Neodiprion lecontei: one gene and its partner. The protein of the gene in region 1 purifies or fractionates together with the protein of each later gene. This does not show direct contact. Links are inferred from orthologs where the notes say so. Each region holds a gene or a part of one and is shown in the gene's direction. Other genes may lie near its edges.

Region 1 (14,910 bases):
ACCTTGTCCATGCAGCGCCCTTCCCTCTGTTCATCACCCTATAAACGCCGCTGTTAAGCCAAATTTACGAAGGCAACGGGACTCGTAATGCGGTACTCTATAAACGCGAAATTATCTGTTTAGCTCGAGTTCCGGTTCGGTGTACTTGGCCTCACGCATAAACTAGCGTCGTAATTTGACCGACTAAAATTCACTCCGTTCTCCTAATTTTCCATTTCAGGCAAACTACGTCCGGAAAGAGCGGACTTGTTTCGTCACGTTTTTTCATGCCTACCATCGACTTGTCCTGCAGCGAGGCTATCGGGACTATTGGCACCGTTCTCGCCGGCGCTGTCACTGTCAGAGGAGGAAACCACGGAGCTCCGGAACAAACGGCCAGGACTCCTGGAGCTTCTGTTGCACCTTTTGCGCCGTCACCAGCTACAGGGTTCATCCGGGCTCCGAGAACGGAGAGCAGCTGCTCCGAGTGAGGCACCAGGTTTCCGAATATCAACTGGAAGACCAAGATGCTCAATGGTGATTTCGTACCAGATTTTTAACTCAACGCTAATTGCGTTTGTACCGAATCTGTTCATCGCGCGTGTAAAGGCTTTGCAAATTTTCCATTGTGTCTATGTACCCGGTTCACGGGGCAATGGAGATATATAATTCAGGTTCATGCCTTGGGATCCAGATAGGAGTGCCGGTTTCCCTTTCAAACTTATCCATCCGAGATGGTTGATTAATTAATTATGAGCTTTGAATGCGTCTGACACGGCGTAAATGATGCAAAAAAAAATATTGGCATTTTTAATTTTTAAAGTAAACAAAAGTCCAAAACGCGAGTAATGTAATTTTCGATGAATTGGATGGAAAAATTTTATCGCAATAAATTACCTGCGTCCTCTGAGCGCTCTTCTTTACGTTCGCGTGTATGAACGGATAAAATACGTCCAAATCGAAGGGATCGATCTTCGACTGAATGTCGTCGCATATTTGAGACGACTTGTCTACAAATTTTTTATTCTCTCGAGGAATCATTAACAGTGTGACGTATTTCGTGTCCAGCAACGTTTGCAGGGCTTGTTTCTGCTTCAAGTCGTCATTCTTCGATAACTCCGCGTAATATTCAAACAATTCCGTCACTACCGTGTCCACTATTTCGTGTAGTATTTTCCTGGAATTAGGCGAGTGTAATGAACCCATATTTTTCTTTCCAAATTCATCCACAAGTCTTGTCGACTCTTTTCAAAATGTTTACGTTATATTCATTTGATCCCGCAAGTCTGTTTCGGACAGATACATTTACCACCCGGCGTCTACAGTAACGCGGGTCCGAAAAAAATCGGAAGCTGACATTGGGACGAAATATCTAACGATCAAAAATCTCTTCAGCATAGCCCGAACTGAATCTTACCCTTCGTATAATCCAATTCTACTATTCATCCGGTGAACCAATTTTTATCAACGTATTCACAAAATTTTCCGTTCAAAAAGTTGAATTTTCAATATGAAAGTTGATGGAGTACGAATTACGCTTACGTAAATATTCTTTGATATTATACTGTGGTTTTTCGTACAATATTTACGTTATTAAATACCTCTGCGGTATAAAACCAGCTCATTTCAAATTTCATCAAAATTTGAGATTATCCGCAGATCGTATTACGCTGATAAAATTGAATACCTAATATCCTTATTATACATTGATTAGTAGAAAGTCAGTTGATCGAAATAGTCAAGCTCTTATTAAAAATTGAACCGATATTTCATACGAAGTTAAAAAATTTTCAATCACAATGCAACCAAAATTAATAGAGATAAGAAATAGCTTGCAAGCGTGCAAAAGTACTCACTTTGGCAACGTGTGAGGAATTATCGAATTCAAGTCTTTGCTAACAGCGGCCAGGAACTTCTGCACGGATATGGAAGGTTGGTAGGGTACCAAAATTTCAGACTTCATTCTTTTCCCTTCCTCGGCCTCCTCCTCGATCGTGACTTTCTCCCAGTCGCAAATCATTGTTTGCATTTTCAAAACGTTGAGAGACCTTGGCATAATTCCTTCCTTGTGATCGTGAATTTTCCGTTTGAAAATCTTGGCCCAAACTGTCCAAGCGGCGAGGCTGTCATCCCTCAAAGTATCGCAAATCGACTGCCACTTCGTGTTCGGTATAACGATACCCGAGACTTTCGAAAGGGTGAAACACTTGTTCAAGCTCGGGCAGAGTATAGTCAGTGCTTGGAAAAACCTCGCAGTCAGAATCGCGTTCACCTCCCGCTTTCCCACCTTCGCATCTTCGACGAGGCATTCATCCCTGATAAACTGTGACAATTCGTGTACCTTCTGCGTGCTTATTACTTGGAGTTGTTCCTGCACGATTTCGCGGTCTACGAACTTATTCAGAGTGCTCGAGATTTTAACAGCCAGGAGATCGGTCGTCGTCGTTGTCGACTTTTGACTTTGGTAAAGATAAAGGTGAAGATCCTGCAGCAGGTTGAGCAAATTTCTGTCAAAACTCTCGCAAAGTTTAGCCAAATTCGGAGAAAAGCCCCGCGTCTTCATCAGCAAAAGCCGATCGTTGTCGGCCCCGTTCCTGTTCAATTTTTGCGGTATGTCTGATGGGGAATCTTTCCAAATGTACCACCTCAGATCGTGCTCGGGATACTCGCATTTATCGTGGGCCACCTTGTTCAGGGTGTCGAAGAGGTCGGTCTTCAAATTGAACAGAGTTTCGTCCCACTTGATGCTCACGATTCCCTTTACACGCTCGGTCAGCAACAGCTGAAAGTAATCCCCCCAGAAATTTACCGTCTTTTCCAAAGATAATTTCTTGCACATGATTTCCCAATTCTGAGGAACTTCCAGGGCGAGAACCTCTTCTCTGATATTGTGTATCCCTTTGACCGACGTCACTAGATCAAGCAGTTTTGAGACCTCACGTTTTACAAAACCCTCCACCCAGCTGAGCCAGTTTGTCAAATTATTTTTTAACTCCGCTTCCGGAATTGGTTCAATCTCGCCCCGAGTTGACGGTTTGTGGCTCTTTGCGAATGGTGACAAGAATTTATCTGTCAAATCCCTGTCTACCTTTAGCAGGGACAAAGTTGTTGGCGCGTTTGAACCAGCTACTTCCTCTACACATTGCAACACAAGGCCCTGTTCCTTGCCGTTCGTCTCTGAAATCACATGGTCAAGATTCGGAGAAATCGTGATTCCTCAGCATGAATATTTATGAATGAATAGTATGGGTAGAGATTGTGGGAATGAGGTTTCAGAGGAAACATGACAAAAAAAAAAAAGGTTTTTTTATATAGTACGTAGACATTCTTAGAAAGATACAACAACTGATGTTACCGAACTTGAAGAATGACGAAAAATACGTCAATTCCACAATCAGGTAATTTTTCTTACCCACAAAACAGGAATAAAGCAGATCGATCACGTGTGTCAGCATCTTAACGCTCAAGCTAATTCGATTCCTCACGCTAAGATGGCTCTCGTCTTTTATTACGGCCTCGACGGCTTGGCTTCGAAGAGTAATCAATTTCTTCAACAACTCTGTAGATGCCATGCCATCCAAAAGAACCAGTGAAGCTAAACAATTGGCTGCTGACTGTAAATCGACAGATAAGATCCATATATTTTTATTCTTCATACTCGAATTTACTTTATACGTAATAATAATATATCAAATTGTCGCGTACCTCAACTGGGAGTTCAAGCGACTGCAGAACCTTATTACACCCAGTTAAAATTACATTTCTAAAGTGGCTTATGACGCCCCACTGTTTGAGAATTATCGGATACTTGGTAGCCAGGTCCGAATTGCCAACTTCAATCCTTAGACTGTAATTGATGTGCTGAGCGAACAAAAACAGTTGTGTGGCCAGTAGAAAGTTCTCCGTATCTACCGCCGACCATATTTGCTCCGGTATGTCCATCAGAATTTTGATTTGCATTACTATCGAGTCGTAAGCTTCATTTGACTTATTGCTACAAACGTTTATTAACTCACAAATGTATTTGGCATTTGATTTATAATGAGGGTACAAGAATTCGGATATTGGTGTCAACCTAAGTATCCAAGAATGATTTTGCGCTATTGTTACCTTTCCAACATCTGTTCCGGTGGATCCATTTTAAACCCGATGAGGTATTTCTGTTGCAACTTATGACAAGTCTCCTCCATGTTGCAGATCCTTGCTATAACGCACTCGGAAGTCTGCTTCATCTCTGCTATCGTATCCGCAGCTTCTATCAAATCTCGATATCGTTCTCTGTCAAAAAAATACTGGTATTTTGTTCTCAATTTGTTTTTGAAAATGGATAAGTCTATTACCTAAATATTCACTGGCAGGACAAATCATTTTTGTCATAATGAATCGTTAAGTCATCAAAATGAGAATATTAAAAAGAAAAACAAACTGTCAGGAATAAGCTGATGGTATTTTTTATTCGTGGGGAAAATCGGTAAAATTTTATTTGCATATTTATATACAAAAATCAGCTTAAAACTACTACGATTACAAATTGACACTACGCTTCTTAACCTAAAAAATCTCACCCAACAAGCGTACGAAGCTCGACTTTCTTTCGTTCGCTTTCATTTTGAATTTTTTTCTGTATCTGTTCGACTTCCTTAATCGTATGACCCTCGAAAACTTTTTTTATATCCAGCTCCAAAAGATTAACAACTGGCATTTTAAATTTTAAATACCGAACCCTAATTTTTGATTTTGACACATCAACACAATCCCAGCTGATATCCGAAACCATAAGACATGCGTTCCAGAGACCAACGCACCTCGAATTGTTCCTGCACCAACTAACTGACATTAGGCATCCGTGCCTTCATAGCTTTGATCTCTGTTGTCGGTTTGTCAGTCAATTGTGTCGGTACTAGAGATCGCGTCCTGATCTGCTACACCGGGAGATACGGATAATGATCGCTTCGAAATAATACCACACATTGGAAATTCACGTCAACATCTCTCGGCTGGCTCAACCTCATCTTCATGCAAAATGAATCATCGCTAATAAAGTTTGAAATCTGCGGCGCCGTGAGGCATTATCTTAGTCAAAATGTAGCGCCAATAGCGCTTAGCGGGAGTCTGCCGAACCTTCGATACAACGAAGATTTACGCTGCGAGTCATGCATCTACGTTTTCTTCATTCTTCAGTGCGGCGCGTATTGTAGACACAAATATCTCAATGCTAGTGTGGCGTTCGGTCTGCAGTTGGAGCCAGTCGCCGTTTGTGGTTGTGTTCTGTGTTCAGTGTCAAGCCAACATGGCGGCCGCGTTGACCGTCGAGCAGGAACAAGTAAGTGAAATGCGAATTGTTATTTGTGGAACGAGAATCCATCGCCGAGCGATATTTCATTGAGAGCTATGAGACTTCTCGCCCCTTCCCCGCTTCCACACGTATTTTCAAACTGCTATTCAACGTGTATAAATAACACCGCGAGTACCGAATGTAAACATTTCAACACCTCTTCCGCACGTCCGCGAGTTCCGTCAGGTTTGCTTGACAGCGGGGACTAATTTTTATTCATTTTTTTTTTGTCGTGCGGTGTATAAATAGCCCCCGTGAAAAGTGGTGAAATCCGCAATTCCAATAGACTCGTTGCGTGTCTCTCTCTCGAGTTATTTATTATTTGTTTACGTTTACAAATTAAAATCCGTGCTCGAAACTTCCGGGTGCATCTCAAATTGTGTATTAGGTACGGTAAATTCAGAGACGAAGAGACGGTTTTCTGTACCCGATCGTCGGTCCGGATCTTTGCATTATTATACACTTGCGTATCTTGTTTTTATTTATATGCCCGTCTGCACGTCGCAACGTAAACGTTACATTCATTTGCCACGTGTAAACACACTCTACATATATAAGTCTATAATATTCTCATCTCCGTTTCTCACAATTCATATACTTAATAAATATTACGTACTCGAAGGGAAACGGATGAAAAAAAATTTTTTCAAACCGCGGAATACGTACGCCTTACTTTCAACCAGGCACGCCTCGAATCTTTAACGGATAAAAAAAAGCACAGGATCGAGCCAAAATCTAGAGCGTTTCAACGACGTAACTGCATTCCATTATACAAACTCCGGCTGTTTCATCTGATATCAGACGAGATCTCGATCAACCTTCAACTACTTTTCAAAGCATTAAATTCCACCGCACATTCCAGTTTTATTAGGGCATTCGAAATCCTTGATTGTGTCACGATTTTCGCTGAAGAAGAAGTCTGCAATCGAATCGGGGAAAGAGATAAACAGCAGTTTATTAATTTCTCAATATTCGTTCGATCACAAACTCTACTTTTACTTTCATGGTACCATTTCTGTATGATTTACCCCAGTTTAGAGGACACGCAACTGGTTGCCCCGTTTCAATTTAAACTTTTTCATTTCTATTTTATCAACTGAATACTTTTTTCTTTTTTTTTTTGTCATTAATTCTTATACAAAGTACGTGCATAACGTATACTCTTGAATCAACGCCACGTTTCATCCGGATATACTCTTGGCTTGACGTATTACTCACATCCGTATGAACGTGTTCGTGTAAAGGGTATAACCGTATTTAACACACACGCCTATTTGCACGTTTTTTAATTTACGGACGCAGTGTCAGGCGAATTTCTCGAAGCATTAATACTACGTCTACATCAGTCGTCGAATTCCGTTTTCGTTTTTTTCCATTATTTTTCGTTAACTTCGCGTGAGTATGGAGAAGTAAAATGAAATCTCATACTTTTCGTAAACATTACACGGATTAGAAATCAACCTTGAAACAAATGTAATCCGAGTTAGGGGATAGAATTAAAATAAAAAAAAAAAAAAAAAAAGGTAACGAATCGGCGTACATGTTTTTCGCTGACGTTACTCCTCACTTTGTCAGCGTTTCGCTTCGTACCCTTCGTGTCGCAATTACACACCTTATGTTTCACGGTAAGAGATCAGCGGGATCGAATATTTGGGCGAATTATGACTAATTGTTATTCCTCGGAAGAAAGAGAATCCTCTGTGAACAGAGCGACGGTGAAAAAATGAAATCATACTAATCATAGGTACCTCGAAATTGCGAATAAAGACTAAGTGGTTGGCTGGTTCCAGTGTGTGGACGGAACTAAATTCCCGATTCCCCGGAGGCTAATTCGAGCCGGTCAATTTTTTTATATCATAGAGAGTTTATCGTTGCTGTCGTTATTTATTTCAATGCTTTACCAAGAATTATGGAGGAGGAGAAGGTATATTCGTACCGATCTTTGTAATTACCGCATTTCTTATCCCCGTTTGAATTATCTTTGCCGTATTATAATTAAGTCTTGATGAGAATGAAATGATATATAATTTGTATCGTATGTTTTATTCAGAACGAGAGGACGATCAAAAAATTTCTAGATAAACGTATGTCAGTGAGATGACTATTTCGAACGAGTGACCGATGTACAAACTTGGGCAATAATATATTATACGTAAACGGTAATACATTTATGTATTTTTTAATTCCCTTCCGCTACAGAAATATATAATAACAATTCGGTTATCGTTTAACGTTTCAAGTTAATCATACCTCAGATTTCAATTTCATTTAGTTGAGTTAAGAGGCCTTTGTTATCGTCAAGGAAAAAACTTCCTTCCATTTCGTCGAATTGATATCACGGTGTATACTTCGAAATGAGGAACAGTTCGAAAGAGTTATTCGTAAACAGCAATAATTTTTCTACATCATTTTTATTCAAGTCGTATAAATATCCATTATCATAATACCTTTGATGAAAAATTGTCCCACCTCTACTTTGTAACAATCATCCGACGAGTTACAAAAGTTATTAAATAAAAACAGATATCAACTTATGCGGACGAAGTCCGCGTGTTAAGAATAATCGCGATCCACGATACATTTTGTCGCGAGTCGAACGAGCAAACCTTTCTCGTCTCTTCCTTCTTGCTTCAATGAGTTGAATTGTGAATACATTGAAAATACCGGTTCGTAAATATTGTGCAAGGTTTGGCCGCCGCAGCGAGACATGCATGCGCCTCTTGATTAACGAATGCAGCGAGGGCATTGTGCCCTGAACAAGTCTGCTGATATAGCGGTGGCCAATCACCGACGTAGATCAAGATTCGATGACAAAAATGAAAACATCCTTTCGATTAAACCGAGTCTTGTCTTATCGCGTTTTACACACGCGTGTGTCTCTGTGCGTACATATATAGATACACGTGTGTGTACGTACGCATAGTCATGCATGCAGCGAAAGTGTTGTGGCAGCTTGTATGACGATAATATGAAATTTGTTGCGGATGTTATTTAATTATAATACACAATCTCTCTTTATGTATTATACCGAGGTTCGCATGCAGCTAGTTAGCTAGCTCTCAGGGATTCGGTATAATATATGCGCACGTGTATTTTACAGCCATTCATTCGTTCATTCGTTCGTCTAATTTAAGGTCACTCGGGGATCTTGTATCATCACGAAAATAAGCAATTATCACGCAAGTCGTATAATAGCTGTTGTACTTTCGCGCAGGTATAAAGAACAATGAAGAAAAAAAGAAAGAAAGAAAAAATAACCGCACACGTCACGAGATATAATATCGTTATTACAATTATTGTAATGCAAAACGAAAGGAACTTAAAATTCATCTTATCGTCATAATTTCGCTACCGAATTTATTAGTATTGTGATTTACAGTTAAACTTTTAACGAATTTAAAATTGCGTGGTAACAATTTCATAATTTTTTTTAACGAGTTATAAACTTTCCCCGCAACGTTTAGCGGAAGGAATTGAAACGGTATCCGAAACGTTGACCCTTCCCTTGGTTGATCGAATTATCGTACAATGGCTTCGCGCACCGTTTCGGAGAAATTAATCAACCGTATAACGCAAGCACCGTAGGTTACGGGTTACGTATACGTACCTTAATTCGTAGGACACTCAAATGCCGCGGGATCGAGATCCGAGCAATTCTCACCCGCCTCGCTCCTCGCAGCTATTACTTAATGAAGTCTGATTACGAAGAATAAACCGGACATTGTCTACTGGATACAGGAAATGAATACAGACGTGCCTCCGGCGTCACGCGAGCTTACTTACACATGTGACGAACGCATACAACGCATATCTATATGCAGGCGTCGATGGCGTCGTACTCACTTATACATATATATTATATATATATATACATATACAATCGATCTTGAAGAGTCAGTGCGTCTTAAATTTTTTACAAATTACAAACACGCGGATTCGATCACGTTGCTATATTATTCAACTATGTATTACGTATATCAATTATTTAAGCTTCGTGGAACTCAAATTAGAGGTTCGCACAGATCTGTCGAAATTCAATCCCTTTTTTTTTTATTATTTTTTTATTCATCACCTATCGTAGTCGAACGTTGAGAATGTACCAAATTTAGATTTTTTTTTAGATAAAGAGAAATGAAATTAAAAAAATAAACGAGAAACACAAGTACTAACATTGTAAACAAGGGCTCGGATTTGAGAAAACTATTGTTCGCAAATTCACCGATTTAATACCGCTGGTTTCTAATCGAAATCAATATTAATTAGTCCAATCTTGCGAAATTGAGTATTTAACGATATCGAGGTGTAAAGAAAAGTGTCCCAGTGGCGTTGTAGAGAATACTTTTTTTTTGAAAACAGACCACCGTGGAGTTAAATCGAAGAAATCTGTGCTAGATTTTTAACTATTTTGAAGGGATTTTATTTTAAGTAAAATATCGACGTTATATCTATACTCCAGTTTAAAACATTAATTTTTTTTCTCGCATTTTCGGAATAATATTCATTCAGCTTGCGAACGTGTGAATGATGTAAACGAGAAAGTGTCTATTCTTGACTCATCAATCTCCTACCGAATCGAGATATTATATCGTGTTTAGACTGTGATTTTGAAAAGTTGAATCAAGGTTAATGGAAATCATATTATTTAAAAATAGAAGAAGAGTGCACACCTGCACATTGCAAATAAATTGCAAGCACCTATAAAGTCTTCGTTTGAAAAAGATTATACCACTTGACTTGCACAACGCAACATTCAAGTCGCTTGAATCATCTATTTCAACGCGTACAGTAAATATAAGTTAACTACTTTTTATCCGATAGATAATATCTCGCGAGTGGGTTGCAGAACAGCTGCATGGAGTTCGGAATGTCGGTTATTCGGATTTCCCCCGTGGAATAGCAATTCGCCCTTTACAACTGGATGCGAAAACATATCATGCTTATTGCGTGAGCCAGTTTTTCGCAGAATAGAAAAATGACGAATCCCACGCATCGTCCCCTACAGACGATGGTGGTAATTTCAACGATCCGCCCGTTAATTACATTGTTCGTACATGACACACTAACTATATAAGTATAAGTAATGTTCGTAGGATTTGTTTCCAAGCGTATTGGTAAGCTTTTAACCTATCTCATAAGACGCGTCAGGTGAAAAGAATTCGATGCAGGCAATATTCGAAGAATAGAAATGTGAAATGCCGGCACCTCGTGTTGCCGATGCCGAGTCGAACCGACCTTGTATGTTTATTCAGTCAATCGCATCTCGGTTTGCTGAGAATGATGAGTCATATTATTGCAAAAATAAAAAATACACCTTGTTCACTTCCTCGTTCAACATTATAATTTGAGGCTTAGATAATCGAAGAATAACAATAATAACCTGGAGGAGTTATAATAATGATAATTCACGAGTACAAGTATAGGTATATAATTATTTTGCAACGTTTGTTTATATTAATGAAGGGAATTCGGACGCGCTCACAAATATCCCGATAGTTGAACAAACCGAGATCGATTTTGTTGTCACTCCTGCAGTTTTACTTAAAAGACGTCATAGTTCATCTTTCAATATACGCGTAATTTTCAGTAAATCTTAAAATTTGTCTAAATTTTCTCGAATCAAAAATGATGTAATTTTTTTCCGAACATTTTTTCTTGTTTTCTTTTAATTTGATGGTTTTACAGTGTAGTCAATAAATTTATGGACAAGCTTGAAATAAAAATTGGAAATCATATCGAATTTATTAATTCTTCAACATTTATTATATTGTATATTACTGTATTGGACGCGACAAAGAAAGTAACCTTATTCCGACATGACTAATGCTTCCGGAAAGCTGCACTTGTCGTATAAAGTAGTATTCAGAAATCAGCTTGCATGGAAACCGGAAAAAATGGTAGGAAGTAGAATTGTTAACTAATAATCTAACCTTGGAATTACGCATAAACTGAAGTGACGTTACACAACGCAATTATTGCAAACAATATTTTTTCCTACGTTGAAATCAATCGTGAAATCAGTTTCCGTTGCAAAAATAAACATTCCGACGCGCAGAAAGGAAAAACCGAGTCGCCTTCTAATTATGATTAATATTGCGAATGCCTGATCCGTAAGCGAGATAATTTTAGCGACCTTTCCATGTTACCTAAGAATAGTTGAGACGAAAAATGAGCAACTTGGTATTGAATTTTATGGAAGATTGACTGCGGGCGATGAATTGCGTATAATATATTTATATATATATTAAATATACGTAAGATTTTAATTTAGGCAAATTACGTTCATTGTCAGCCACTTTGAATTCGCGTTGGAATTATTTTTTGCGGACTCGCAGACGCCTTATTTGGTATATTTTTCAGCTAATAATACCGGGCGTGAAACTCCTCATTTTGCATTAACGAGGACGACAAGTGCACGTCAATTGAGACTTATTGATCTGTGCAGCGCACCCTGACATTGATCCCCTTCCTGCTGAAGTGGTTTGATTACTGCTCGCTCGTGACAGACCGCGGGTACGTTATACTATACCTATATGTATATCTACTCAAGGTGTACGGTATAGATATATGATAACCCTCGTAATATGCTGATTTTTATACAATGGTCTAGACGCCGCGAGATTCTCTCCGTTTGGGGGCGAGGTTGAAACTCCGAATTTGAAAAATTTCGAGAGCGCCATATTCGGATTTTCTTTTTTTTGGTGGCGAAACTTGAAGTAAAGAAATCAAGCTGATCGAAACATCAAAGTTTCGAATGGTCCGAAACCCGACGCTTAAATTAGTTGCGAAAGTGCAAAATGCCGAAAGGACCAAATACTGAAACGGCGCAACTCCGACAAGTCAAATTTTCGAAAGTGCGAAAATGAGAAAATTTAAAAATCTGAAACATCGAAATTCCGAACGATCGTAGATTTTCAGTTCTGTGAATTTCTGACTTGGTGAAATTTCACCACTTTGATCGTTCTTTGCTTTGGATTTTCGATATATTTTTACGTTCCTGGTCATTCTGATTTTTCATTCTTCTGATTTTTCATATACGCTCGTTGAGTAAACTGTGAGTATAATTTACTTTTTGGAACTTTGCTCTATCGTAACGTGAATTTTTGGAATCCGGGATTTCGGAACTTTGAGCCGTCGGGTTTCCGATCATTCGAAACTTTGTTGTTTCGTAAAAGTTTGATTTCTTTTCTTCGGGACTGGTTTGGAACTTCTCGAATTCGGAACTTCAACCTCGCCCCTTCGTCTGATGTAGGCTTCCGTACTCGTATCGATTAATTTACTACTAAATTTAATACCAGCTCTGATCAAGCCACTGTATCACTGATTTTCAATCATACGTATTTCACTGTTCGTCGTTTTCTTCCTAATACCAATTATTTATCACACTATCCAAAAATATTTTACTGTCTAGATTCATCGTTATTCCGTAAGCTGCGAAAGCAAATAGGTACTTATCTTTGTTCCTAATATCGCAATGATTAATGTTATGAACAAAAAATGAAATAAATACTGAGGATACATGTGGCGATAAAAGAAAATTTTTAGATAAAATTTCCTATTTGAACTTCCTCTGTAGTCGAGAAATTTTTCTCGATACGTTAAACAAATATCGTTAATTTATATGGAAAATGCGATTCCTGAGCTGACGTGGATTAATAATCCCGTTGATGGAAATATCACTTACGATTCATATTGATATTTTCGTCTGATATTTGCAGTTATTCTATAATAAGCAATTTTATCGAATTAAAATCACTCCCCGTGTTAAAATGTTTTAGTCACCTTGTGCAATCCGAAGATGAGCGGAAGGTATAGCAAATTCCTGTTCTGTAATCGGTTCATTTGAGTAAATTCACCTGAACCGATAATCCGTCGGTGCGGTACAAGTTGTACTGCACTACGTGCATGCGGTATGTATATAATACTGCATCAAGTGCAGAACTTTGCTTGATCCAATTTCTGAAGTATATTATATATCACATGCAAGTATAAATCCTTCCGAGGATTAGCGGCCATTGGCGGAAGTAATACAATATTCACACGTCGAATCGTTTTATTCATCCTAAGTACGTTGAGAAGTAAGTATTATAAATCATCCTCGTAAGCAGCTGTTTAAGTGTTCACAGTAAATTACTTTCCATCCATGCTCGGTTATTATACCCCACTGTAGCTGAAAATAAAAAAAAAGCACCAGCGGTTTTTACCACACGCGTGACGATCTCTGACAAAGGTGATAATTACATGGTAGCCGCGCTATTTCTCGGTGTAATTCGCCTCAGAACCGCGAAGTGTTATTTTATTTTCTATGTAGGCACAGGTATTATGTGTAATTGTAATTGCCCACAGGGGTTTAAGTCTGTTGATTTCTTTGCTAGAAACTATCAGTGACATCCGGTCCTATAAGTTACACAGCAATAATAACATTTTCGCTCGTCCCCGCCATCCGATGTTTACTTCATAACTATATATACAAATGGTTCTGCTGCTGAAAGTTTATATCGTTGAACGTACGCACAGTTTTGTCACAAAATAATTTCGGATTGAAAGCGTGAAGTAACTCTTTTTTTCAATTATGTATAAAAATTTCTCGAAATTTCACCTATATAATAATTTGATTATGAATATATGTATATTTATAGATCGGTTCTGAGCTCGAAAATTTGCACGCTCATCCAATATGCAGTAATAGTCGCAGGAAATGGAAAAAATATAAAAAAAACTCGGTAATCTGTGATAAAATTCGTTTGATATTTAGCAAAAAAATTTGCATATACGATCATTTGTAAAACCGTCAAATTCGTCGTTGATACTCGAATTTTGTGCGCATGTACCCAAAGTTCCGATCCATCAAGCACGATCGGTAATTAATAATTTCATTTCTGAATTTTGATGATAAATTTCTTCCAATTTCGGCAAGCGAGTGAAACTTCCTAATTATCCATTTGCGAGTACAACATGGCAAGATTATAGCTAAATATTGCACCGATTCGCAATGACGATATTCGCTATTCAGGAAGACTTTTCAACTGAGTTTGATCTACCGAAACTTTAAGCAACCACCTAAATAGTAAAAAAGAAAAACAATCAACCCGCTACAGTGCAATTTAAAGACTCGTGCAAGTTGCATTATCATTTTTATTAATCGGTAGCAATAAATTCTGCGTCGAAAAGAGACACGAGCGGCATGTTCATGCATTTACGCATGCCTTTATACTATATGTGCATATTCAATTGTTGATAATTGATCAAATTCACTCCGGTTAATTAAGTTATACCCGGCACTCGGTCTGTCGAGGCAACGACTGGGGTTCGGTGCACGGTGCATAAGATCTAGCTAGACGGTGCAACGCTTTTGATGTGCAATCAGCGGAACGCCGCGATGATGGCTAACGCGTTAGCCTATAGCCGAGGTAATCTTCTATCGCATCTACGTGGGTTGGGCAGGAACTCGAAGGTAGGTTGGTAGGTAGGTTTACAATACGGAAACGGTACGCGTCATGAGACGTGATCATTCACGGTGGCGCTATATTGCGAACTATTGCACGTGTACTGCAACCTAGTTGGTGATTCGCGTGTAATCGGAAGGCCAACGTCGCTTC
Region 2 (17,971 bases), on another chromosome or scaffold:
AAAATTCAGTTTTTATTACGTGTGATTGCACTGTTTTTTTTTCATGTCTTATTCTCTTTGTAAAAAATGTCTGTCTGATTTAGTTGTACCTCTGCAACTAGAATTCGTGCACAAAAATGTATTACGCATACATACATAACACAGACTAATAATACTGAGGAAAGAGACATTGGACCTATATATATATACAATATGTACACATAGTTGATTCATCAATCACTTGTCATTTTGTTCTTCACTGCACAGAATCTAGTATTAAGTCTCTGAGTTCTTAGGTCAATGTAAAATCACAATCCCCCAATGGCAATTATTTCTATTACCATTGTTTCATCACTCGTTAAATAAAAAAACATACGATTATGTTCGGAGGCTAAATCCTTGCAATTTAATACATCAATATTTTAAAGTTTCCAAATCATCGTCAGAGCGTCTTTAAAATGGGCGATGATTCCTAAAGCAATTACCTTTAGTTAGATCTAGCATTGTTTTTATGAAAACGTTCTGGTTTAACAACATATAGTTAACTCATGCATATATCCGCTGAGTTATAACTCTTGAGAGACAAATTATGTCCATGAGATTGTCACTATGTAGGAATAAAAGCAGTACTTATAATAGAAAACAGAGATTTGTTTACCGGGCTTTCACAAAAGAAAATACAACCTGCTATTCTAGCTAGCTTCCTTGTTATAACAAAGAATGTATCTCTACTAAAAAATATTGTAAATATAGTCTTTCATTCCAATTATTCTTATATTTTCAGTTGTCTCAAGGTCATTCTTGTGAAGCTATAAAACGAATACATATGTACAAAATGGATATTCATCTTCGATCAGGACACAGGCAAAAAAAACTTGACACCACCGATAATCAGAAACAGTTTTTAAATAATTTAGAAGATCAATTTTCATGCACTAGGAGTTCACCAAGGCGACAAAATGGGTTTGATCAGCAGCTGTTCAAGACAGATGGTGTGTCGTCAATTTTTCTTTGTAATACATGATTTGTGCTACTGTTAATCTGACAGTAAAACTGTGTTGAAGTTTGATAAATGGAAGACTTATTGAATTTATATTACCATAGAAACTCCAGTTGCTGTACCAGTCAATGGACCTCCAACTCCGCATCGGATCAATATGACAAGAACAGATTCTGAAGATTCTGAAAAACCAAATGCTGGTGATAATACAAATACGAGCAAGATATTTTATCGAGAGTCTCCCAGTACTGTGCTGGACAATGTACAAAATCCTGCCAAAAAGTCATTGAAAAAAGGTCGTAGAAAACTCAATCCAAACAACACCGATGGACAAGGATTACTAAAAATGACTGCGAATAGAACCAATCACAAATTAACAGACTATTTCCCAGTTCGTAGAAGTGTTCGTAAATGTAAAAGAACTGTGTTAGAAGAACAACAGAGGGACATGGAAAATAAGGTTCTATGTCAGGTGCAGGATGGGCTGAAAATACAAGAGTTCATTGGTAAGGGCAGAGGAATTGTTACAACGAGAGAATTTCGGAAAGGTGACTTTGTGGTAGAATATATCGGTGACCTGATTGATCAAAATATGGCTAAAAAACGAGAAGCTGAATATGCTCGAGATCACAGTACAGGATGTTACATGTACTACTTCAAGCACCGTAACCAACAGTATTGGTAAGTATATAATATCGTCATTCTGATTATTAACAAAGTGAGTTGGTTGTAGGAAAGACCCAAAAGACCATTTGCATTTAATTTTTGAGGTTTTCTTCTCTATACTAAAAAAGTTTCTATTTTCATACTAATAACAATAATAATAATTCCTCCCTACACTCGCCGTACCCAATAGAGTATGTCCCCAGAAGCCACATTGTGACTTGTGTAGGGCAAGGCAGGGGATGGATCGGTAACCATTATTGTGCGGCTGCAGCCAACTTAAGATGTTCGGTAGAAATACCCGCATTCGCACAAGGGATAAGGAAAACTGCCGAAATCCTTGTGCGAGTGTAGCCGCACCGAGTTCAAACCCCAACTTGCCTATTCGGCGTCTGAACGGAGTCACCCAACTTACATTTTTTGCGAGTTACAGCTCAGGTCTTGCTTGACAAACTAGAGATTTGAACTCGAGTCCTCCCATTATACAGTTTCACATGCTATGTGCTATGCTACTATGATCTATCATCAAACGGTGACGTTTTTTTTTACAAGTATGAAACTAACGAACATATTATTTTCTGTTTACAGTGTGGATGCAACACCAGAATCAGATAAGTTAGGCAGATTAGTAAATCATTCTCGTAATGGTAATCTGATTGCACGTGTGATAGAAGTTGGATCTATACCACATTTAGTCCTTACGGCTAAAGATGACGTACCACGTGGTGTTGAAGTGACTTATGACTATGGAGACCGTAGTCGAGAATCTATCCGTAATCATCCATGGTTAGCATTGTAACGAGAAGTAGGATCATTCTTACATCTCCGGTAATTAGTCATAATTAGATAAAATAATTTTTAACCAGTGCACATATTTGCAGTCCCTCGAGTTGCTAGTTACAATAATGCAAGTGCACCTAAATTATGTAAAAATGTTTACAGAGACTGAGATTACGATAAATTTAACACTGGTTTTGTACTAACTAATATCTTGGTAATTGCCCATGTAATCAATAAATGAAAAATTTATTCAACTCTGTAAAATTGCTAGAAATTTACAAATTTAATGTGATGGTAAACATCACATGAGAATGGCAGGCACAGATTATCGCTGTGTACTGCAATATTAGGGACCTCCTGCATATGGTGGAAAAACTTCCTTCAGGAGCCAACGATACCCGTTGCGTTTAACAATATACATTACGCGCTTTTGAGTGATGTTCGAACGCGAAATTCTTGAATATGAAATTGTATCTGTCAAATATGTGATTAAAAAAATTACTTCTTCGGTAAAAAAGTTTGATGAAAAATAAAATTTTATATCCAACGAACTCTGAAATAAAAAAATTACAAGTGCATATAACAACGGTGATTTTAACTTTATGCCTACGTTCAAATCTCCTCCTCAATATCATAAAAAACAAACTTTTCTCAATAACGTGAATCTGAAATCGTCAGATGCCATTTCACGTCAAACATTTTTACCAAAGAATTAACTCTTCTTTTTAATTTAAACCTGTTCGTTTCCAAGAATATTTCCCTCGAACATCGTTTATCCGCGTATAAATGTATTGCAAAGAGAAACTGATCAGATTGACTCTTAATATTATTACCTATTTTACACTCATTTAATCAGTTTTAATGTATATTTATTGGTTTGGTACCGTTAAAGATATTATTTTTGTATAGGTTTATGTTTCGAAACAGACAATTAGTATCATTCAGTGATTTATGATTGTAGTATTTAATTAACCTTTTCAATGCAATGATTCTCACATTCTTAATAAATATTAATGAATAAATTAGCTCTTCTATATATCTACAATAAGGATTTTTAAACGATACTTAGTGATATTCACATTTCTTTTCATCATCTCGAGAAACTTCTACATTTTTTAAATCTCTCGCAATCGAAATTCTATGTAAAACAATGGTCCTTACTACATATTTTTGCAAAGTACAAAATAGAGCTGATGAACTGCACTGGATTGCAAATAAGTAGTAAATGAAAGAGAAAACAAATAGTAATTCGAATAGAAATTATCAATGGGTATAGCATAATAAATACCCCAGTTCAATGAATAATAAAAAAATGACATACTATTTATATAAAATTGCAAAAATGTGAAACACCATTATAATTATAGCCGATTTAAGTATTATATGCGTTATACGAAAATCCTGTGGAAGCAGTTGAAAAAGTTGAATAAATAATGTTTCTTTCAAAATACTATGCCAATTGTGTAGGAATAAGAATGCTAGTTTAAAATCGTATCACCATACAGGAGCAAACAAAACTGTTCTTTGATAAAAAATTTCAAGGCGCTTAGCGTCCAACGACAACTGGTTTTGATTAATTAAAAAATGAGCACAGTGCGGGAATAAAATCCAATTCCGATCGTAGTGTGATGAACTAAAGTTATTTAAACATATTTATTATTCAGTTACGATTATCCTAAGTGGCTTGGGCTATTACAGACTTGGGCTATGTTGAAATTCTTATTACAAATTGAAATATATACAGTTATAAAGTTATGGCGAGAACTGCACAAGCCTAGAAGTTCGGATGGGAGGTAAAAGATAGTAAACGTTAATGTAAATCATCGTAGTGTTTAAAAAAGTTTGAAGAATTTGGATAAATAGTTACAACTATCTTATCACAGATTTGATGAATAACTAACTATTATTTAAGCGATCCCGTTGAAGATTAAAAATCAAACGTTTGTTATTTAAATTCTAACTCAATAGCTACATAACTGCCTGTTGTATTTAAATTGTACAAACTAATGAATAGCCGTGCTTCGTTTATCCTTATTTATCTTTGATCAAGTAAAATATCTCACTCTCAAATGGGTGGACTAAAATATAGTAATGACTTAGATGTTATACAAATACGTCGGCTCTGCCTGCCTTATTAATATTTTAGTAACATATATTGTCTAGTATTCACATAAAGTTAACGTTAGTAGATAATTTATGTTAATAATTAGCCTGTATAGTATTCAGTTGACTATATACTTGTGTATATTCATTTATAATGTAGTCACTTACTTCCGGAATATTTCTGGTAAATAGTGTAATACTATCAATGTGAATATTAATGACATTGTCAATAATCATCCCTGAAAAATTTTATTTTAATTCTTTTTAAGCATGTTTCTACTTTTTCTGAGGTGATCAAACTAGCAAATGGTCCTAGATTGATTTAAATTTGGCTTCATAACAATGTAAAATATACTTTTTTCTACCCAACAGACAACTTGTACATTTGATATAGTTTTGATACAAAATTGAATTGTTATACGTATTTAGTTGTGCCAATGATCAGTATAATTTCACAAAGAAATTTACTATTTTTGGTGTTACCGAGCCTATTAAGAGAATGTTATAATTTTGTTGGTATCTCGTAATATTTTAAGAGTTTCAATGACCCTGATAAAAACAAGTAATTACTTCTGACAGTTGGATTTTGTTCCGCAGTTTGAACTTTCCCTGCCAGCTTTTTTCTCTTAATTCATCAATTCAACATGTCTACAACTAAAATCTCTGATCATTTAATTACCTCTACGACTGAATTGAAACAAAATATCATAGATAACTTTTTAGTGAATGCATATATAGGTATACATATTTTTTATTATACGCTTTATGTTATTACAAAGATGTCATGAATAAAAATATAATTGTGCACATGAACATAATATTGAGATGATGTTTTTATTGAAAGATTCTAGGTGTGTAACAATTAGAGCTGGTCTAATTGCGCGATTTTCTTATCATGATATAAAAGTACTTGAAACGTTGAATTTCAATGAAACATTGCCAAATAATTTTCAATTCAAATTCTTCCAATATTCACAAGAGTAATGATAAAAAATTAAGGGATACCGAATTGACTAAACTTAGATAGGTCTGAGGCTATTTCGATTTTGATTTGTCAAATATAACTACAATAATCTCATCACTGACAGTTAAGATAATATATAGGATATTATCTTACTGACAGTGTGCACTGAAAGAAATCGTGATAGCAGAAAATAACGCCTGCCAATGGGAGAGGATAGAAATATTATGAATGAAACCCACGCACTTCTGTCTATCACACGCAAGCTCGAAACGAATGAAATATCGATTTGATAAACAAGAACCCCGAATGGCCAGAATTTCGCGGTTGAAAAAATACGAATTTCTGATTGGCTACAGAGGGTCATCCACCTGATTTTGACACTCGACATACAAATGTGACAAACGCATAATAATGATGTAGAGTAACGTTTCGCAAAATCACAATATAACGCTGCTTTCATCTGATACAAAGATAAGTGAGTACTTATTTTGTTATGCAACTATTGAACGGACAATTAACGTAATTGGAAATGCAAATAATTTGAGGTTGTGAAGCTCCTTTAGAATCGGGTGAAATTTTACCGACATAACCGAAATGGACAACACAGCGACAGCCGAGTGTCTCACCCTGGATTTTGGGCCGTTCGAAACGGTTCACCGTTGGCAACAAATGCCAGAATGTGATGAATTTGTTGGAGCCAGGTGCGATAAATTTTCGTCAATCCATTTCATGCATTATAGGTTATGTCAGTTTATGTCAAGTTATAACATCGCTCTTCACCGTTTGCTTTCCTATTTTAATCCAGCAATTGAACCGCTTACTGATGCATTAGAGATAATGTTTCAATTCACACATGCTATACTTCATGACTTTGATGGAGCAGATACACCTACAAAAAATTTGTTTCAATATATTAAGATTCTGAATAAAGTTAAATGAGATCCTCTGTAGAAGAGTATCAGTCAATCATTTGTGCAGCTTCTTATATTGATGTCAACTGTCCAAGTATTGTGCTAAAAGTTTGCCAGAAACAGGTGTTTCGTTACTTTATGAAAGTCATTTACAAAATTTGGATATCTTCATCAGATAACATAATAAAATATCCCCTTATAATGGTAAATAAGTCAACATCCATCTCTATTATTTTTTCTACACAGACGAAGTAAGCACACGGTAGTAGCATATAAAGATGCTATTTACGTATTTGGAGGAGATAACGGAAAGAAAATGTTGAATGATTTGCTACGGTTTGACGTTAAAGAAAAATCTTGGGGTAGGGCGTTCTCCACTGGGATTCCGCCAGCACCAAGATATCACCACTCAGCCGTAGTTTATGACGTTTCTATGTTCGTTTTTGGTGGATACACTGGAGACATTCATTCAAATTCTAATTTAACCAACAAGAATGATTTATTTGAGTATAAATTCAAGACTGGTCAATGGATTGAGTGGCGGTTTATTGGAAAGTAAGTTGATTGTGACCTTTATCAACATTCCTACAACGATGATAAAAATATGGAGCTTTCCATAATAATTATGGTACCTGCTCCTCTCATTATTTGAATCTATTGAAATCATAAACAAATTGCAGAGTATTCGAAGAGCAGAAAGTTTATGTCCAAGCATCTAGTTGTGATATGAAGTAATTGGCCAGAGCAAGACTGTTCATGTCTAATAAATATATATATGTGAATATATATATGTCTGCACCTGGCATTGGAATATTATTGCTAAACTACGAACTATGTATAATACTTATTTTCATAGTATCTCTTTCAAATCTGTAGAACACCTGTACCCAGATCAGCCCATGGTGCTGCAGTGTATGATAATAAGCTTTGGATATTCGCTGGGTACGATGGGAATGCTAGATTAAATGATATGTGGACCATATCGCTGCTTGTAAGTCAATTACATTCACACTAAATTATAATTAATAGATAGTAAATTTTTTTATGTAAAAGTAAGAGTTGATTAAATAAAAGCATTGTGGTTTATAGCCAGGAGATATGAGAGTTTGGGAAGAAGTTGCGCAATCTGGAGATTGTCCACCAACGTGTTGCAATTTCCCTGTAGCTGTTGCTCGTGAATCTATGTTCGTTTTCAGTGGTCAGAGTGGAGCCAAAATTACAAACAGCTTGTTTCAGTTCCACTTCAAAGACAAAAGGTCGGTGAAATTGGCATACCAACATCAATAAAGTTTTTTAGTCAAACAAATATCCAAATTCATTATGCAAAAATGCAGACTTTCATTACAAGACTTTTGTAATTAAGAAGCACTCGGATTTTTTGACATAATGCGTGACATGAATTATGTTCAATAGGTGGACTCGAATATCCACAGAGCATATATTGAGAGGTGCTCCACCTCCTCCAGCTCGCCGTTATGGTCACACAATGGTCAGTTTTGACAGGCATCTCTATGTCTTTGGTGGAACGGCAGATTCAACCCTACCCAATGATTTGCATTGTTACGACCTGGATACACAGACATGGAGTGTAATTTTATCATCGGCAGACAGCCAAGTACCATCTGGACGATTATTTCATGCTGCAGCAGTAATTGGGGAAGCTATGTTTATATTTGGAGGCACTGTAGATAACAATGTGAGATCTGGTGAGATGTACAGGTTTCAATTTTCTTCTTATCCTAAATGTACTCTGCACGATGATTTTGGAAGATTGCTCAGCAGTCAACAGTTCTGCGACGTCCAATTTATTGTTGGAGAAAGCGAAGAGAAAATACCAGCACATATTGCTATGGTAGCCGCACGATCTCAGTGGTTAAGAGCTAGAATTAAACAAGCCCAAGATCAGAGAGAAAAGCATCTTGAAAAAATTTTAGGCATTACCGATCTACCGCTCAAAGATTTACCGTTGCTAGAAGTCAAATTGAAGGATGCTGTGCCGGAAGCCTTTGAAATGGTGTTGAACTACATATACACTGATCGAATAGATCCTACCAAAAAAATAGAAGATCCGTTGAGCAACAGAATCGTACTTCTAATGATGGACGTTTATCGACTAGCTGTTCAATTTCACATGAAAAGATTGGAACAACTTTGTGTTCAATATCTTGAAGCTACTATCAGTCATGCAAACGTTCTTGAAGCACTTCATAATGCAGCACTTTTAAAGTTGTATTTTATTAAAGAATTCTGCTTGAGTTTTGTTGTCAAGGACAGTAACTACAATCAAATAGTGATGAGCCAGGAATTTGAAACATTGGATCAACCCTTAATGGTAGAAATCATAAGAAGAAGGCAAATGCCGCAAGCTAAAAACTTTCTAAAGTCATACGAATCGACAGGTACTTTATTTAATATTGCCAAATTTTGGTGTTTAAAGGAATCTTTTAGTGAATACTTTGGAATAAAGACAATAACAATAACAAAGTGTGTCTTATTTAGAGCATAGATTCATTACTTATTGCTTGACGCTTTTACATTTTGTATGGTGATAATTTTATTTTTCTTGAATAGAATTTGCACACATTCATGTGTTGGGAACAACTCTAGAGCAGGATATGGAGGTCTTTTTAAAGAGTGCGAGCACCGAATTTTGTGATATTATGCTGATGTTGCATGGGACACCCATACCAGCACACAAGGCTATCCTTGCCGCTAGATGCAGTTATTTCGAAGGCATGTTCCGATCTTTTATGCCTGAAGACAACATAGTGAACGTAAGTATATTACTAGGCCCTCTTATTATTGATTGTAGTACTTTACTTGTAACAAATACCATTTTCAGATCCAAATCGGAGAGATGATTCCTTCAAAAGAATCATTCGATTCCCTGCTCAGGTATATTTATTACGCAGATGTCTTAATGCCTCCTGAGGACTCTCTGTACCTATTCACTGCACCAGTATTTTACGGCTTTACAAATAATCGCCTGCAAGCCTTTTGCAAGCAAAATCTTGAAATGAATGTTACGTTTGAAAACGTTATACAAATTCTTGAAGCTGCAGATAGAATGCAGGCTATTGACATGAAAAAATATGCTCTCAATCTGATCGTCCATCATTTTAGTAAGGTATAGAACAACATTTCTTGAAAGAAAAGTTTAATGCATAATATGTGGAGCATACTTATGTAAATTGAGTCACCTTGATTCCTGAATGTCAAACTTTGTTGTGATACTTAACTTTTTTACACTCTGTGGAAAAAAATCCATACATACGTGCACTCGTGCTTCACCTAAATCAATGAGACCTTATTATAAATAAATTGCTTTTTTTTATGTAGGTGCAATACTGTTGAACAATTGAGTTGAGGAAAAATGTTGATTGGGATCGTTTTCCAAGTACTCGTTAAAATTTAGAAAAATAATCCATCAGTTCTAATCCAATTTTTGACCACAAAATATTTACCATTTTTGGTTTCCATTGACTGTGGAAGCGATATTTGAGCATCACATAAATGGTGTACCTAATTTGTAGGTGGCACGATTGCCAAAATTGAAGCAGTTGAGTCGAGAACTTTTACTGGATATTATAGAGGCATTGGCGGATGAAAAGAGTGAGGCTCGAATGTGTCAGGACATGTCCAGTGCTAGTCTTTCCAGTGACTGCTGACAGACTTCCAGTCAGGTATGGAGAGCTCCCATGCCCTCCAGTTTTCAGGTTTGTATTTACAAGAGAATAAATGAGTTATTAAGTTAAATGGGTAAATATTATATATAAATAAAATGGAAAACAAATGGTGAAAAATGTTTTAATTTTTAGGAGTTATTTCGAGTGAATTTCATCTTGATAACACGCATGATACTGTTCATTGGGAACTACTACTTTGATTTAAAGATGTGTCCGCAATATAGACAAGGCTACAGGCGATGTAACCATAAGAAGAAGCGACATCATCGATTTAAAATTCACTGACAGTTGGCATGACTTTTATTACGACTGCTAGCGTGTCTCAAGAAAAAAGATGACACCAGCAGCTTCAACTATTGAATTTTTTTCACATGAATGGATTATTACGTGATAAGTTTTTGAAATCTCGTCACCAATTTAGTCATACTCAATTTATAGTATAGTAATAGCAGACAGCTAATTGTTAGTAATATACTTGTTGCCCTTGACAATGACCAGTAAAAGCATGTCTCAACGTTCTTGTATTGGCTTCAACAAATCAATAATCTGCTCAAATAACATGATAAGCATAAGTGTGATATTGGTCAGTTTGCAGCGTTCGCAGGATGAGTTCATTTACGAAAATTAAAAAATAAATTACCACAGTAAATTACGTTATTATTTATTGCAGTTAGTAGTGATTTCGAATAGTTTTTTACTTTTTCCAAATAAATCTAGTCACACTTAACCCGGTGGAAGAATTAGAATTAATGATGAAATGACACAAATCGTACAATACTTATGGTCATTTCTACGATAAAAAAAATATGAAGCACGTATCGTACTATGTTACAAGCTTTTGTATAATAAAGAGCTGTAATACGATTTGCTGGTAAATTCTAGTAAAAACAGAAATTAGTTTTACGAAATCTTAAGATATTAAGCACGCGAATTAGCACGAGTTATTGAAACATCTGCGCAAGAATTCAACATTCCACAACCGTAATAATAGAATATTTTGTTTATTAATTGTGAATTTAAGAAGATTCGGGTCCTATCACTATCAAAAGTAACTACCGTTTCAGGTTATCCTAATTTCTAAATTTCACGGTTATCCTCTCTCAAGTTACATGATATCGTAGTTATTAATTAGGTAGTTAATTACCTATATTTAGAAAATAATTTTGAATAACAGATGTAGTCCTTTAATGTTTTATCTTTACTATTCAGAAATTCTAATGTATTGTTACATTCATCAAGACATATTGAGCGAAAAAGCATTGTCTCCGTATAAATGATAGCATTGACAGGTTTTTTTAAGCATCACTGAAATCGTATACATAAGTTTGTATTCATTAAGCAAACCATAATTAGCGAAAATTGTATGGTTAAAAGTTTTTTCATTCACTTGAAGTGTTTGCGAACGTGTGTTATGTAAGAATTTGATACAGCTAATCTGCACCTTGATCTAACGTTGGTGTAATTAAATTTATTTGTATATATATTTTTAATCAATTTATGTATCATTGATTGTTTTCTATTTACGAGCATTCTTAGTAATGTATGATCATACTCAAATGACAGTGTTGAGTGTGGAAAGTTCAACTTATTCAATATTCAATATTGATATTGAATAGGTTTGATGCATTTGGGATGTCCAACAATTTTTGTTATTCCATTTGGTAAGAAATTTGATTATTCATCAACGCGATACGTAAACAAAAGTTTCACTGATAATGCTCAACGGTTTTTTTTTCTTTGTAGCCAGCACAGTTTAATGGTAACAATTTCTGTATTAAGTCATTCGTTTCACTGTACAATTGCTGTTGCCTGTGCAAAATTTATGTGTGACTATTGATAGAAAAGCACAAAACGAACAGAATCTCTGCATGTGCCAAATTATGTTAGAACCAATCTAATTTTAAAAAAGTGCAATATTTGAATAAAACAAAGCATTATATCTAACAATATTTATTTTAACGTAGCTTGGTTTTGAATAATAATATGCAAGCGTTCACACCATTTGATATGCAAACACTTGAAAAATATAATAATCTTGTTATATGTATATACTCTGTGGAACTGCCACAAAACTTGTTCGATATTAGAGATTCTCAAAAATAATAAAGAAAATATCATAAATAATTGTATGCTGTTAGCTCATTAGTAGTGCCTAGAGAAAATATGTTACAACAAGAAACTTTTGTGGGATTACTACTAAACTTACCACTTACCATCCCACACACGTATGTTCGAATATTTTTGACGTTCCTCAAGAGTAAACTCGTTGAGTTTCACGTGCATCTTCTCCTATGACTTTCAATGGATAACGGATTTCGGCTGGAATCCCTGACCACTTCAGATTGATGATACTGCATGTATAGTAAAGTTTTCTGAAAATTAGTTGTGATTACTAGTCGAATGAACGGATATTGTGCAAACATGGTATAAGACGATATTCACTGTTATATACTAAATTATATGGATACTAACAAATGATAGGTATATATCATTCGTAAAATACGTCTCTAGAACGTGATAGTGAAGTACATACAAATAGAAATACAGATATTTCTGAAGAATCGACTTTATTTATTGAAATATACAGTTTAAAAACGTAATGTAATCACACTTTTGTTCAAATTTTTTTTATAAACGATAAGGCTATCTCTTTTCATACTATTGTTCAGCTACAGTAAAATTACATTCTTACAAAATACTTATATATTTCATATTGTCACCTATTTATGAATAGGCATATTTCATACATAAGTATACCATTAATCAGTATGATTCACAATTTAAAAGCTGTAAACTTAGATCTCTGTATCCAGCTGGTAACTATCATATAGGCACGTTTTCATTTTCATTGTGATTGAAATTTGTTTATACACAAAGTATATACTTTTCTTGTATATAGCAAGTTTAAAATTGTTTTTCTTAGTTTAATTATTACCTATCAACAATGACTTATATAGCAATCACAGACATCCATTGTGCTGTATCAAGTTTATAAAATTTTGAGTGGATAATACTAATTTTGAGTTAATAAACATTCTATTTTGGGTAGTTTAAATACAAATAAAGTTCACAAAGTAATGTTTCCGTGCATACGCAATAAGTGTCTCAAGACTGAAGTGATGTCAAATAAATCTAGAAATCATGTCTTCACATGTTTTTGCCGCATTAAATTAATTTTTTGAATTTTGTCCATACCATTTATCCAACTTATACAAATTACATTTCTGTTGTTGAAATGATATTGACAAAATGATTGCATTGTAATCCATGTTTCAATTCAAATACCATCGTACTAGAATTCAGAGATTCAATGTTCAATTGAAATGGTAAAAATTCAAATGAAGCATAGTATCAAGAATTTTTTGTACTCTTCATGTAATTCCTATAAAACATTTCGTTTGCATTGGTGACCTGTAAGAAAGTGATGTACCTAACATAAATTTTTAAGTAGCTCATTAATGTGATTAATGCACAGATCAACATAAATAGAACCGACGGAACTCAGAACTTCAAATACTTCACACAGGTAATCGTTTTTCTATTTCTCCAGAATCTATAAAAAATTTAAAAAAAAATTATATATATTAGCAAAATTCAGTGCATGGTATCAAATTCATCGACATATCTTGACAAAAACATCGATAAACTTATAACAGATATTGCTTAAGTTTTACGTCAAAGTGTAATGCATCATTTAGGAAATATATGACTTATATGAGAATAGAAAAATATTGGAATGCAGTCAAATATACAGGCATATTTGAATGCACATGTATTTAAACATTTATTATACATCAGTTATGCGGAACGGAAATTATTCGGTTTGAAATTAAAATCCTACAGTAAATGAGCACAACAGATGTCGGTTTGCTATTCCACAGAAGACAATCATTTCATTCTCTCATAAATATAGATCTTTCAACAACTCTATATAATTATTGTAATTGTACATATTTACTCACTAATATTGGTCACAAAGCTCCTACTGAATTTTTACTACTACTAGCAAAGGCAAATTAGTGAATGTAGAAAATTTAGTAGCATGTACTGTATTTTAGTGTTAGCAACCAACCAACAAAAATAATGAAGTTAGACCAAGTGAAAATAAATTTTGTTCATTACAATGGGAAAAAAAATCTTCATCCTTTGTGCTAAATAAAGTTGTAACCAAATTAATATTGGTTGGTGGACACCAGAAATGGATTCATAAAAGTATTGTACACAGCATCATCTGATACTGTAATCCCTGCAATTTCTTCTTTTAATTCGCTAATAAGAAAAGATTTTGAATTACGAATAGTGTTGTACTTCATACAGTTTATCCTCGCTACAAGTTTTTCTACTCTTAAAATCACCGCTGGCTCACATAGACTATAAAGCACTCACTGAGAAATATTCGAAATAGAAATAAAACAGGCGTTACTGTAAATTAAATCAGTTTTCTTTTTTTTGAATGAAGAAAAAGGTAATTCAAGTTCGTTGATGAATGAAGAGAAAAAATGTCCGTTCAACCTGACGCAGTAACACTACTAAGCTCTGTGCACTAAATTTTGGCCGTTCCGTTCAAAATACTAATGCTTTGTTTACAAAAATAATGCATCAACACTTTGAAATGTCCATACAACATGAAAAATAAATGAAGTACGAAAAGTAGAACAGTAACTAAAGCACACATGCGTCATATACAGTTCTACTCTATTTATTCCATCAATTGGAACAAAATCATCGTTGTTTGTAACCGGACATTTCTTTTTTCAAATACAAAAGTAGTTTGAACAAAATCGATCTGTAGCCTCCTGACCACCATATTTATATGTTACCTATCAAGCTGTTCCTAAAATTATGATGCATCAAACACTAAATTGCCAAAAATGTAGTAAAACTAAAAGATATTTGCAAGTGAATTTTTTTTTCTTCTTTTGCTGGATTTGCGAAATAGATATTTAAAATGCAGTTATCAAAAAGAAGAGGAAGGAAATAGACAAGAAATCGAGAAAAATGACACATTTATTGTTATGTTATTTACTTTAAGCATTATTTAGGGATATTCGAATATTCGAAGTATTACTGTTGGTATGATTATGAAAATTTAATAATTTCATCATTGTGAAGTGATGGACTAATGTTATACGATAAAATGATAATTATTTCGGGAGAAAAAATGATCGAATATCCTCAGAAAAATATCTCAAAGATATAGACATCTTCAAGTACTCAAATGTTCAGAGCATATTTGCGAAGTATACTTCTTGAAATATGAAGATACAACTGTAGAAGAAAATTAGAAGTTCTGAACTAAAAGCATTATTATAGATGAAACGCAGGTAGGGCAAACATAATGATTGGATAATTTGTTAGTTAGTATAAATAATATTAGGGCAAGGTTAACTACCCGTCGTTTTCGATAATGAAAATTCATCAGGATTACTTTGAAAATAGCTTTCACTGTTAAATTGGAGTATACATAACTAAGCATAAAGAAATCGATTTTGCGCCATTTCTACTTTACACAATAAAACGCGATTTCGATTTTCTTATCGAATGTGCCTAAGAGTGAGAAATGATTGAATTGAATTAAACAAGGAATGCAAGTATAATAAATTGCGTTTCAATCGCATTTAAGGCAGATACACTGGCCTTAATTCAAATTTTCTCATAACTTTTGTTATTAATTATGTTACCTTTATTTACTGAGGCGTTTTATTCTAGACCGGGTCGATAGTGACCGGGCGCTGGGATTGTACGGTGATTTTACCCGTTTCGCTATACCTGAACTGCTTGGACTCGCTTGTGGCCCAGATGAAGATGATGTTTGCTTCAATTTACTGGGTAATGAAAGCCTGTTCGCTTTCACGATATCATATTGACTGGCCATTTGAGGCGGTACTGTATGACCCATGATATCAACATTCCTTGAGCGTAAAGTTTTAATAGGGGTTGCTGCGATCGTATCAGATCGTAACCATCTCTGCGGTGGTAAGTCAGGCGTACTTGTTATATTTACTCGTTCTCTCTGAACGGTGAAACTTCCTCTCAGCTGTATTCGATTTCCACCATTTATTGAAGGCCTCCTAATGGTTTTCACGGGTGTAGCCTTCTTCTCTAGGCTTCTTCTCTGGTTGGTCCTTGTATTTTCAGGTCCTTCTCCAGTAACCTCCCATTTATCCGGCCACGATAGTCGAGTGTGACTGTCTTTACCTTGATTTGCTGGGTCATTTTCGTCTATCGGCAGAATTCTCTGATCCTCGGAACGTGTTCGCCTCTTCAGATTAGGTTCCGAACTACAACTCTCATCAGCCTGTGCTAGTGTACTGTGTCTTCGTTTCGTACCAACAGCTGTGCCAGGTTTCAATTCATCGCAAGAACCGTTAAATGCATTTTGTCTAACCATATGGTGCAAATTATTTGATTCTTCTTTGGTTTTATGATCAGACATTCTGCTAGGTTTTGGCACTTGTCTATTCAGACTTTGTAAGTTATGATTATTTTGACTTCCCATGGATTTGTGATCAGGTATCCTTTTGGAATGGACAGGCTGATCGCTTTTCTCTAATTTTGTTGTAGACACGTCTTCCGATTTTGTTGAACCTTCTGTTCGTTGTACATTGTCAGAACAAACGCTTGATGATACTTCCGCAACTTGTATACTCTCTCTACTACGCAGTTCTCTTTGAGGACTTTCATGACATTGTTGCGAACATTTAGTCAAAGGCTTTGTAACATTGAGCGGTTGATTTTTCAAATTCGGATTATGCTGCTCTACTAAAGGTTTTGACACTGCAGGTAGCCTTTCTCTATGTAAAATATTAGCTACTTCTGTAATTTTTCTCATAGCATCCACAATATTATCCGATGAATCTGGTTGTTTAGACTCATTTTCACTTTCATCAGTCTTCGTGAAATTTGGTACTGGTGGTTGCGGTTGGGCGGCGTACAAATTAGGATTGGTTTCAGGTTTTGTGGAGTAATTTGGCTCGTACTCGACTTGTTCAGAAGTACTGGGAACTGGGGAAAGTATTACCCGTTGAGGAATTCCTTTTGGTGATATCGGGCGTTCTTTTTCTTTGCAGCTCTTCTGACCAAGCAAAACCTGAAAAGGATATGTAATATTAATTAGCATCAGTGTGGACTAGAGCTTACAATTCAGCATATGTTTTTGCTATATTTGTTCCTTTGCAATACAGTTGAAAATGCAACACAAGAAACTCGTCATTTTGTCACAGAATTCAGCTAACCTCAGTTCGTGATGGTCCAGGTGGATCCAGCATTAGAGTAACAACACTGGTGTTGTCTGCTCTAAGTCTTGTTGATGACCACCTTTCCAAGGCTCTATCTACCAGACTTTTGGATGGATTTATCCACATTTGTATATCTGTATGCTGCAATGGTAATTGTAATCAATGAAGCTTCATAATCTGACAATGAATGAAAAATTTCGAGGAAATGTCTAATGTTCTACATATTATTTTGAAAATATTCCATACTTGTGATATCTTCAGTCAATCTAATATTTTATTACATTGATATCTGTAGTGTAATAGACCCTAATTTTTAGTTCCTGTAATGTCGAAAGACTGGAAAATTTTCATGACACAGCCATTTATCAATAAACGCAACCTTAATAACATTTGGGTGAACATACCCCATTACCAGTTTGCTGAGAAGCAATAAGATGTTTTTCATTGTGTCTTTCGGCATTTTGGACAATTGATACAGCTAACTGTGGGGATAGCATGTTCCACAAGCCATCTGTTCCAAAGATAAGACAACGATGGGACTTCACATCCACTGCTACAACAGCTACATCAGGCTCAGGTGATACCACGAACTTATCAAGTTCAGAGTTGTAGCTCCAAAGATCACCTGCGTCGAACATTAAACATAT

Evidence for each region.
Region 2: the proteins of tyrosine-protein phosphatase non-receptor type 9 (region 1) and leucine-zipper-like transcriptional regulator 1 purify together in Homo sapiens (affinity purification with mass spectrometry; 3 studies listed by BioGRID and IntAct, with this or other methods). This does not show direct contact. The link is inferred for Neodiprion lecontei from reciprocal best matches to the Homo sapiens genes PTPN9 and LZTR1.

The regions. Positions count from the first base shown.
Region 1 is NC_060265.1:22,243,912-22,258,821, reverse strand, and holds the start of tyrosine-protein phosphatase non-receptor type 9, read left to right. Parts: upstream 1-5,187; 5' UTR 5,188-5,191; coding exon 5,192-5,302; intron 5,303-14,910. Other genes in the region: conserved oligomeric Golgi complex subunit 1, read right to left, coding at 275-493, 877-1,156, 1,836-3,156, 3,392-3,593, 3,685-3,973, 4,090-4,257, 4,545-4,816. UniProt on the Homo sapiens protein: Protein-tyrosine phosphatase that could participate in the transfer of hydrophobic ligands or in functions of the Golgi apparatus.
Region 2 is NC_060262.1:24,972,646-24,990,616, reverse strand, and holds leucine-zipper-like transcriptional regulator 1, read left to right. Parts: upstream 1-5,696; 5' UTR 5,697-5,964; intron 5,965-6,034; 5' UTR 6,035-6,083; coding exon 6,084-6,190; intron 6,191-6,646; coding exon 6,647-6,955; intron 6,956-7,276; coding exon 7,277-7,391; intron 7,392-7,489; coding exon 7,490-7,656; intron 7,657-7,813; coding exon 7,814-8,799; intron 8,800-8,971; coding exon 8,972-9,174; intron 9,175-9,242; coding exon 9,243-9,527; intron 9,528-9,933; coding exon 9,934-10,068; 3' UTR 10,069-10,116; intron 10,117-10,218; 3' UTR 10,219-12,207; downstream 12,208-17,971. Other genes in the region: histone-lysine N-methyltransferase PR-Set7, read left to right, coding at 806-971, 1,084-1,660, 2,231-2,441; uncharacterized protein LOC107217489, read right to left, coding at 15,770-17,176, 17,322-17,465, 17,729-17,949. UniProt on the Homo sapiens protein: Substrate-specific adapter of a BCR (BTB-CUL3-RBX1) E3 ubiquitin-protein ligase complex that mediates ubiquitination of Ras (K-Ras/KRAS, N-Ras/NRAS and H-Ras/HRAS).